Cricetulus griseus: one gene and its partner. The protein of the gene in region 1 purifies or fractionates together with the protein of each later gene. This does not show direct contact. Links are inferred from orthologs where the notes say so. Each region holds a gene or a part of one and is shown on either strand. Other genes may lie near its edges.

The links. Proteins that work in one complex are often made in the same cells at the same time.
Region 2: the proteins of Rsl1d1 (region 1) and Larp7 purify together in Homo sapiens (affinity purification with mass spectrometry; 3 studies listed by BioGRID and IntAct, with this or other methods). This does not show direct contact. The link is inferred for Cricetulus griseus from reciprocal best matches to the Homo sapiens genes RSL1D1 and LARP7.

What each region holds. Positions count from the first base shown.
Region 1 is NC_048600.1:35,513,523-35,517,630, reverse strand, and holds the start of Rsl1d1 (ribosomal L1 domain-containing protein 1), read right to left. Parts: upstream 2,801-4,108; 5' UTR 2,744-2,800; coding exon 2,645-2,743; intron 1,871-2,644; coding exon 1,734-1,870; intron 1-1,733. UniProt on the Homo sapiens protein: Regulates cellular senescence through inhibition of PTEN translation. Acts as a pro-apoptotic regulator in response to DNA damage.
Region 2 is NW_023276806.1:31,269,396-31,273,689, forward strand, and holds the start of Larp7 (la-related protein 7), read left to right. Parts: upstream 1-1,494; 5' UTR 1,495-1,632; intron 1,633-1,896; exon of another isoform or gene 1,897-2,081; intron 2,082-4,294. UniProt on the Homo sapiens protein: RNA-binding protein that specifically binds distinct small nuclear RNA (snRNAs) and regulates their processing and function.

The DNA.
Region 1 (4,108 bases):
GATGTGTGGCACATATGTGGGTTCAGAGAACAACAATTTTTGGGACCTGGTCTGAATGAAAGCAAGTAAGGTGTGGTGATGCATGCCTATAATTCCAGCTTTAAAGACAGAAAAAGAAATGCCAAAAGTACCAGGGGGAGAGGGGTCGACACCTTCCCACAAGTGACATAAATCAAGGTGAAAAACTGAGCAAAGATGTGGGAATAAAGAATGCAGAGGGCCAGGCAGTTGTGGGGCATGCCTTTAATCCTCTTGAGGCAGAGACAGATGGATCTCTGTGAGTTTGATGCCAGCCTGGTATTCAGAGTGAGTTATAGGACAGGCTCCAAAGCTACAGAGAAACCCTGTCTTAACAGAGGGCTGGGAGTGTAGCTCACTGTAGAGCAGTTACCTAACACAAGAAAGACCCAGATTCTTTGGCCCAGGGAGAGCTTCAAGCATTCACTGTACAAACAAGGATCCGTGTTCATCCCTGCATCTATGTCAAAGAGGTTGGTGCACTAGTTATCTCAGGTGGAGGCGAATACATGAGGATCTGCAGGACTCTGGTGGTCAACTAGTCCACCTACTCAATGAGCTCAACAAAACAAGACCTTCCTGAAGAGAGGGTGGATGATGCTTCCAAGGAAGACAGCCAAAGATGTCCCCTGGCACCACACTCATGTGCTCACATACATGAAAACGAGTTTACAAACAGACACATGTTAAAATGTAGGGGCTCCAGGGGTGGCCCCGCATTTAAGAGCACTGGTTGCTCTTTCAGAGAACCCAAGTTTGGCTCCCAACACCCACATTGCAGTTTATAGCCATCTGTAATTTCATTTCCAGGGGATCTGATCTTTTCTGACTCCCACAGGCTTCTGTACACACAAAAATTTGGAAATCAAATGTCTTTCCTCTTTAAAGCTCCTTGAGCCCTCATTTTTTTGGAAAAAAAAAAAGCTATATCCCCACATACTGGTTTTGATAAGCAGAGCAAGCATGTTATTACATAACATCTAAGATTTGTCAAGTAAGACTTTGAGAGTGACCACAAATTATTTTTTCTTAGAATAAGAGGTTCTCCAATCTTGCACAGGACCCACTTACACCAACATAACTGTTTTTTTTAAATTCTGCTATATCTACCAACTCTACATACCACTGCCCAGCACTCTAAAATAACTTATAAAAAGAATATGGGGATGAGTGTTGGTGGTATACACCTTTAATCCCAGCACTCGGGAGGCAGAGGCAGGTGGATCTCTGTGAGTTCGAGGCCAGCCTAGTCTCCAGAGCGAGTGCCAGGACAGGCTCCAAAGCTACACAGAGAAACCCTGTCTCAACCCCCACCAAAATATGGGGGTTGAGAGAGGGCTCTCAAGCAGGATCCAAGGTACTCAAGCAGTTAAGACCATTTGCTGTGATTTGATTTCTGTTTCCTGTACCCACACTGGGCTGCTCAAAACCTTTCTCTCCAGATCCAGGTAACCTGACACCTTCTTTTTGGCCTCTGGACATATGTGGCACATATTTGTATACTTGGACAGACACACGCTAAGTAAGTTTCAAAAATTTAAAGGCTGAGCACATTGGTGAACACCTTTAACCCCAGCACTTAAGAGGCAGATTTATTCCTGTAAGTTTGGAGTCAGGCAAGCCTTTGTAACGAGACCATAAAAAAAAAAAAGGGGGGGGGAGACAGACAAGCCACAGAATCAAAACAAACAGATAAATTAGAACTTAGAATTTACACTCGGACTCGCAGTTCTTTCGCTGGAATTTTCCATAATATCACCATTAAAAATAAATTCTCATTCCCATTCATAAGCAACTCATTTTTTTTCCTTGACTTGGAGTGTGCAAACAGAACTTCTACCGCCCTTTTAATCTGCAGAGATACAGAAATTTAGGTTAATCATTGCTCCCATATACATATTATATACAAACATATTTGTTTCCTTTGCTCCTCTTTCTTTTTGGGGGGGCAAATTTCAATCAGCGTATTGGTCTCTCAGAATTTGGGCCCAGCCGGGCGTTGGTGGCGCACGCCTTTAATCCCAGCACTCGGGAGGCAGAGGCAGGAGGATTTCTGTGAGTTCGAGGCCAGCCTGGTCTCCAAAGAGAGTGCCAGGATAGGCTCCAAAGCCACACAGAGAAACCCTGTCTCGAAAAAAAAAAAAAAAAAAAAAAAAGAATTTGGGCCCAGGGCAATTTAAGATTCATTCCATCAAGAACACCCAAGTACCTGCTTCCGGTATCTGTTTACAAGGTGTCCTTTGTACTTACGAGAGCAAGCTATATATACCGAAGCTTCTCCTGCCCTCCACGAGCGAGGAAACAGCCAGGAAAAGCGCATAGTGCTGGGAGCAGCTATTGAGCTTCATGTGCCCGTCCCTGAGCACCCTATTTTTCGCTCGTGCAAATGTCTTGGAATCCTGAAGAATGGAGCACAGAAAAGCCCACTTCCAACAGGAGGCAAACAGGCCATAGACCTGAGGGAAGCGAACCCGCAGGGGTGCATTTCAGCAACCTCCTTCGGGTTCCGGGGCTCCCACGCAGTCTCGGGCCCGCTCTGAATATCCAGGCCTCTCTCTCCACACCCCGCGGCTCTCGCGGGCCCTAACTACCCCACTTGCGAATCGCTGTCCTCCAAATCACTCGCCTGCTCTTGGTCCAGATGTTCCAGAGCGGCCGGGGTCGCTTGCATGGCGGTCGCTGTGTCGGCTGAAGTCGCGGGAGAGGCAGACGATGACCCCTCCATGATTCTTCGCCTCGTGTAGACCACGGGAGCTAGGAATAACTGCGCACGCGCGGGCCCGAGGCCCGGAACCGGAAGGCAGAGGGTAGGATCTGGCCGGAGACCTCGTGCGTCATTTCCGGGAGGGCGCGGAATTCGAGTCCAGAGCTTTCCTGCCGAGTAGTTGGTGGTGAGGCACCGGCAATGGCCAGAGTCATCGCTAAGCCGCCACCTGTCCTTGCGTCCGGCTCTTTCTAAGTCTATAGGCCTCGCAAGCCCTGTCTCTCCTCCACGGAGGACAGCGGGAGAGCGTCCTGAGGAGAGACTAGAACCCTGTCCTCAACCCGGTGCGGTCGGTCCTCTGAAGAGCGGGAAGCCGTGGCTCCTCCACCCTGTCGTGGCTTCAGGTGTGGCTTTCCCCAAATTGGGGGTGTTCCAATGAAATAATAAGGAACCGCCAATGACAGGCGCGTGAAGCTGCGTGAGAAACGAAAAGATAAGTTGGTTTCCCAGGATCGTCGGCTCAGGTAAGCCCCTAGACTACCAATAAGTGTAAAGGCGGGATAACGCGTGGGGGAAAACTCCAGAATGTCTCTTTCCTGCTTCTCTCCCTTCTGCAGAGCACACCACCTCCTAGAACTTTCCAAAACTGTTAGAAGCATACTTTATTTTCCCCCTCTTTAAGAATAGGTACAATTAAGTTTTCTATTTAAAGTAAGAGTAGTTGCCGGTGCCTTCGAGGTTGTTCTCAATCAGTACCATGGTACCGTGCTTTTTAATTTTATTTTGATTTGGTTTTTGAGACCCGGTCTCTGTTATGGAGTTCTAAATACCCTGGAACTCTTTTCTGTAGACCAGGCTGGCCTCGAACTTACAGACATCCTCTTGCCTTGGCCTCCCCTGGTGCTGAGGTCAAAGGTGTGCACTAACATGCTCCGCTTTCTTTTAGTCAAGATCTTGCTAATATTTAGCCCAGGTTGTCCTGAAACTTGAGGAACCCCTCTTCTGCGTCCCAGATGCTAGGATTACAAGAGTGAGTGAGTTCCCCACACCACCTTGAACCATTACTGCTACATAGTTTACTTAGGAGCTGTTGGGTAGATATTAAGGATAGTGACAGGCTTTTCGCAGCTAGGTATGTGAATTTTTGGGAGATTCCAAGAAATGGGAGTAGAATGTTCTCTATTGTCAATTGTTTACCAAAAGTGCTTCTTCTATGAAAGAATAATGTCCTTCTCCTAGTGTCTAATAAGGATCTTGTCTTAAGCAACTTGTAGAAGACATTGAAAAAAGTCATTGGAACCTACTTCTACTAATCTATTTTAGAATCTAGAATAAGATAGACTTTGAGCATATTGCAGTGAATTGTTACATTGGGCTTGAGTTATC
Region 2 (4,294 bases), on another chromosome or scaffold:
TGGGTTAAAGGTGGAGCTGAAGGCCAGCCTGGTAGCCTGGTCTGAATAGACAGCTAGGACTGCATAGATTAGAGAGACCTTGTCTAAAAAGGAAAGAAAGAAAGGGGGGTTGGGGATTCTAACAAAAAAACGGCATGTTCACTACTGACAATCTTGAGTATTTCCAGTCTACAGCTGGCTGAATCTAGTTAGAGGGCTGACTACATACCTTGGTCAATGTAACACAACACCAAAGGACCAAATACACATTATTTAGTACCTCTGCAAGGAAACCTCCTTTTCTTTCTTTCTCCAGCTCTAGGGGCTAACAACAGGGCCCTGTGTAAGCTAAGTAACAATGCTTCCACATGCCCAGTCCTTTTGTTTGAAACAGGATTTGGCCAAGTTGCACAATCCTCCTGTCTTGGCCTCTGGTACTCTGGGATATTACAGGCAATGTGCCACCACACCCAGGAAGAAAAATCTTTTGAACAGTGTTGCAGCAGCCACTTGAACTATCCTGTTATCTGAAACCCTCGATGACGAACTGAATATAGGTGCCGAAGAAGCACACAAAAGAGTACACATATGTTCAAGAGGTTCCGTGGACATGACCTGATCATTACACGAGAATTAGTCAGTCATGCACATTTTAGGTCCTATTCTTCATCTATTAAGTTAGAAAGCTCCGGTTCTGGAGCTCAACAAACGGCTCACAAGCCCCCTTCAGTGATGGTGACTCACAAACCGGAAACAGTGTGCGCCGAGGCCTGATCCCTAAGCAGCGCGGCACAGGAGGAGCGCCAGAGGGCGAGGTGAGCCATAAGGCGGGAGCCGTCAGTAATCGGATGTGTGTGTGTGTGTGCAACCTTCCTTCTGTTCGGCTGAGAGCAGGGAGAGCTTTCCGTGAAGACAGCGGGAAGCCTGCCATAGCCTTGCTTTATGAGAGAAGCCGCTGCAGTAGCTCAGTGACAAGAGCATTCGCCTCGCTAGCACCAAGTCCTAGGTTCGCGCCCCAGCGCCGCCCGAACCGCGACCATCCGGTCAAGAAACCCCCAGTACAAATAACTAAGAGAAAAACATTACTTTCTCTTGCCGAGCTTGGTGTCCCTAAATAACAGAGGAGCCTTGGTCCTTTGCCAGCCCCCAAACCAACCACGACCAGGCTGGGGCTCGACGGCGACCGCCTCACCCGGCATCCTAACGGCGCCCCGTGGGCCGCTTCCGTGGAGGCGAGTCCGAGTCCGTGCTCTCCCGACCGTGCCAAGTCGCCCGGCCCATCCACCACCTTCACTCCCTTTCAGAAAGCCGTCACTTCACCTCCTCAGGGACACACATTCCACTTTCGAATTTCTCCCGCGAACTGGCGTGACGTCATCAAGCAGGGACGCCGCCGCCGCCGTTCGCAAACCACCAATGGAATTCCTCCTCGGAGGGCGGCCACCGCCTTGCTCCCTCCCAGACCCCGCCCCCGGGAGGCGTCGCCCGTGACGTCAGCGACGGGAGCCGCAGCTCGGACGGACCCTTCCACAGTGGGCTGAGAGAGGCGCGTCGCTCGCCGGATGACGCAAATTTACGCCGACTCGAAGGATCGGGAGACAGAAAGCGTGGAAGAAGGCAGCCGCTGAGCGTGGATTTGGGGACGTGACCAGAGTAAGTCACAAATGGCCTGTGGGGCCGCGCAGACCCGGAGAAGCGTAAACTCCTGAGTCCGGGCTCCTCCGGTCATCTGTGGTCCGGCCCACCCCGCCCCCCTCGCCACCAGTCCGTTGGTTTGGCCTCTCCGTGCGCACGCGCAGTCCTCCGGCGGCGCTTGCAGTTCCAGTGTTCGCACGGAGGGGGCGGGCCGAGCTTAGTGTCGGCAGGTTCGGGGCACGCCCGGCTTCTGGAGCGTGGGGTGGGGGGGTGGTCGGTGCGGAAGTCCAGTTGCTGCGTGGAGCTGCGGCCGCTAGCTAGCTGGGCAGGTTGCGGTAGAGCTTCGGCTTCCCCAGGACAGCGGTAGTGAGGACTTGCATCCTAAAATTCAGTCTTTTCTTTTGCAAGACCTTTAGCCTCCTCTAGGAAATGCGTTTTAAAGGAGGAGCTAACAATAAGCGGTGAATGTAAGTTCTGAGTGCGTTTATGAGGAGCTAAGGGGAAATCTGAGTGGACAGTTCACCGAGACTGGAATTCCTCAAGAATACTACTACATTTAGTAGTCCTTCGAAGCCGGGCCGTAGTGGGAAATCGGATGGTTTTCCAAAGCATATTTACAAGGTTCATTCGGAGCAGTGATCCAGGCCACTGTGGTTTTGCTACCTTTGAATAGTCTTGCCATGACTGTAACTTTGGTTCTCAATCTTTTGGGTACACTTCTTTTTGTTCATAACCTGAAAAATGTCATGGCCAAGTTTCTTTGGAAATTTTGCATGTACCCATTTTGCGTATGATTTTAACAAGCAAAAAAAGCTACTTTGAAATTGAAAAAAACAAATGTTTGTATCTAGTAGAGTTTGCCTCCAGATTACCTATCGCATTGACTGTTTTTAAACAATGTTACAACTTTTTAACTTTTAGAAGAGCAAGAAAAGGGAAATCATGTTTGCCCCAGGAGGATGTAATTAATTACTTCCCTGACCAGTGTCTGTTAACATTCATTTCAACTTTCTACTGCATATTGATCTGGTCTTTGCTCCTTTAAATGGATATGTAGCACTTAATTTTGCCATATTCATTTTTGTATTTGTACAAGCATAGTTTTACCTTTTCTTTTAAATTTATCTTATAACCGTCTCATGGGTTCCTAGGATTTCTTGAAACTTGCCTGAAACATCATAGACTTCAGATTAAGAATTCCTGAATCAGAATATGATATGAATAGTGACAGATCGTAAAAGCTTCTACTAAAAGGCAGGCAGTGGAAAAGTCAAACATCAATGTTTGCTTACCTAGCTAGCTTTGACTAAGTTACATAACCTTTCAGTAGGATTGTCAAGATTTAGAACAATGTACATAAAGTAACTGGCATTGTTTCACTTTTTCTTTTTTTATTCTTTGTTCCAAGACCATTGGGGGAGTGCTTTCACACAGGGTTTCTTTGTGAAACTCTGGTGTACTGAAACTCAATCATCTGCCCACCTCTGCCTCCTGAGTGCTAGAATTAAAGTTGTGTGTCACCACACCCATTTAACAATATTTAAATATTTATGATGTTGCAACCTTAGAAATTACTTTCACAAACCATGTCAATGTTATGAACAGGTGACAAACAGACGTCTGTAAAGCATAGATGACTTCTAGATCATGTTTTAAACTCCTCATATTCTAATGGCAAGTGTGGAAAACACTAAATGAGGGTGAGAGCCATTTCAAAGACCAAATCGGTAGGATTTAGTGACCAATTGGTAAAGAATAACATGGCCATGTGTTGTGCAGCTGTTTTTGTTTTGTTTTGAGAAATTTTTTAGTTTATATATGTATGTGTGTCTGAATGTATGCATGTATTTCACATGCCCACAAAGGTCAAAAAATGCATTGGATCCCCTAGAACTAGAGTGATAGGAGGTTGTGAGGTTTGTCTTTTTTTGGTTTTGGTTTTTCGAGACAGGGTTTCTCTGTATTGTTTTGGAGGCTGTCCTGGAACTCGCTCTGTAGTCCAGAGCTGGCCTCTAACTTACAGAGATCCACCTGCCTCTGCCTCCCGAGTACTGGGGTTAAAGGCATTCGACACCAACCAATGCCTGGCGTTCTTGTTTTTTTTAATAATTTGTTTATTTTTATTTTATTTGCATTGGTGTTTTGCCAGCATGTTTGTCTGTGTGAGCTTGTCAGATCTTGGAGTTACAGGCAGTTGTGAGCTGCCATGTGGATGCTGGGCCTTGAACCCAGGTCCTCTGGAAGAACCTTCAGTGCTCTTAACCACTGAGCCATCTCTCCAGCCAAGGTTATGATCTTTGCCGTCAGTGCTAGAAACTGAACCTGAGTCCTCATGAGCAATGAGTGTTCTTAACCACTATGCCATCTCTTGCAAACCTCCCCACATCTGCATTTTAAGTGCTTAAATTGCGTTTTCTTTAATTGATCTTCACAGTAACTCTATTATATATACAGACAGATTTGTGTCCACATTTTATGGACCACAGAGATGAGGAGATTTGCTCCAAACACATACAGAGCTTGCTTGATCAACTTTGTGGGTTATGGTGTTAGCATTACTGAGGATAAATAGGCTTTGGAAAGAAAGGATATGTTTTCTTTGGGATGTTATTGCCATAGAACCTTGGGAAAGTACAAATCGAATTAGGAGTATAGCAAGGACTGAGGAATAGTTCAGTGG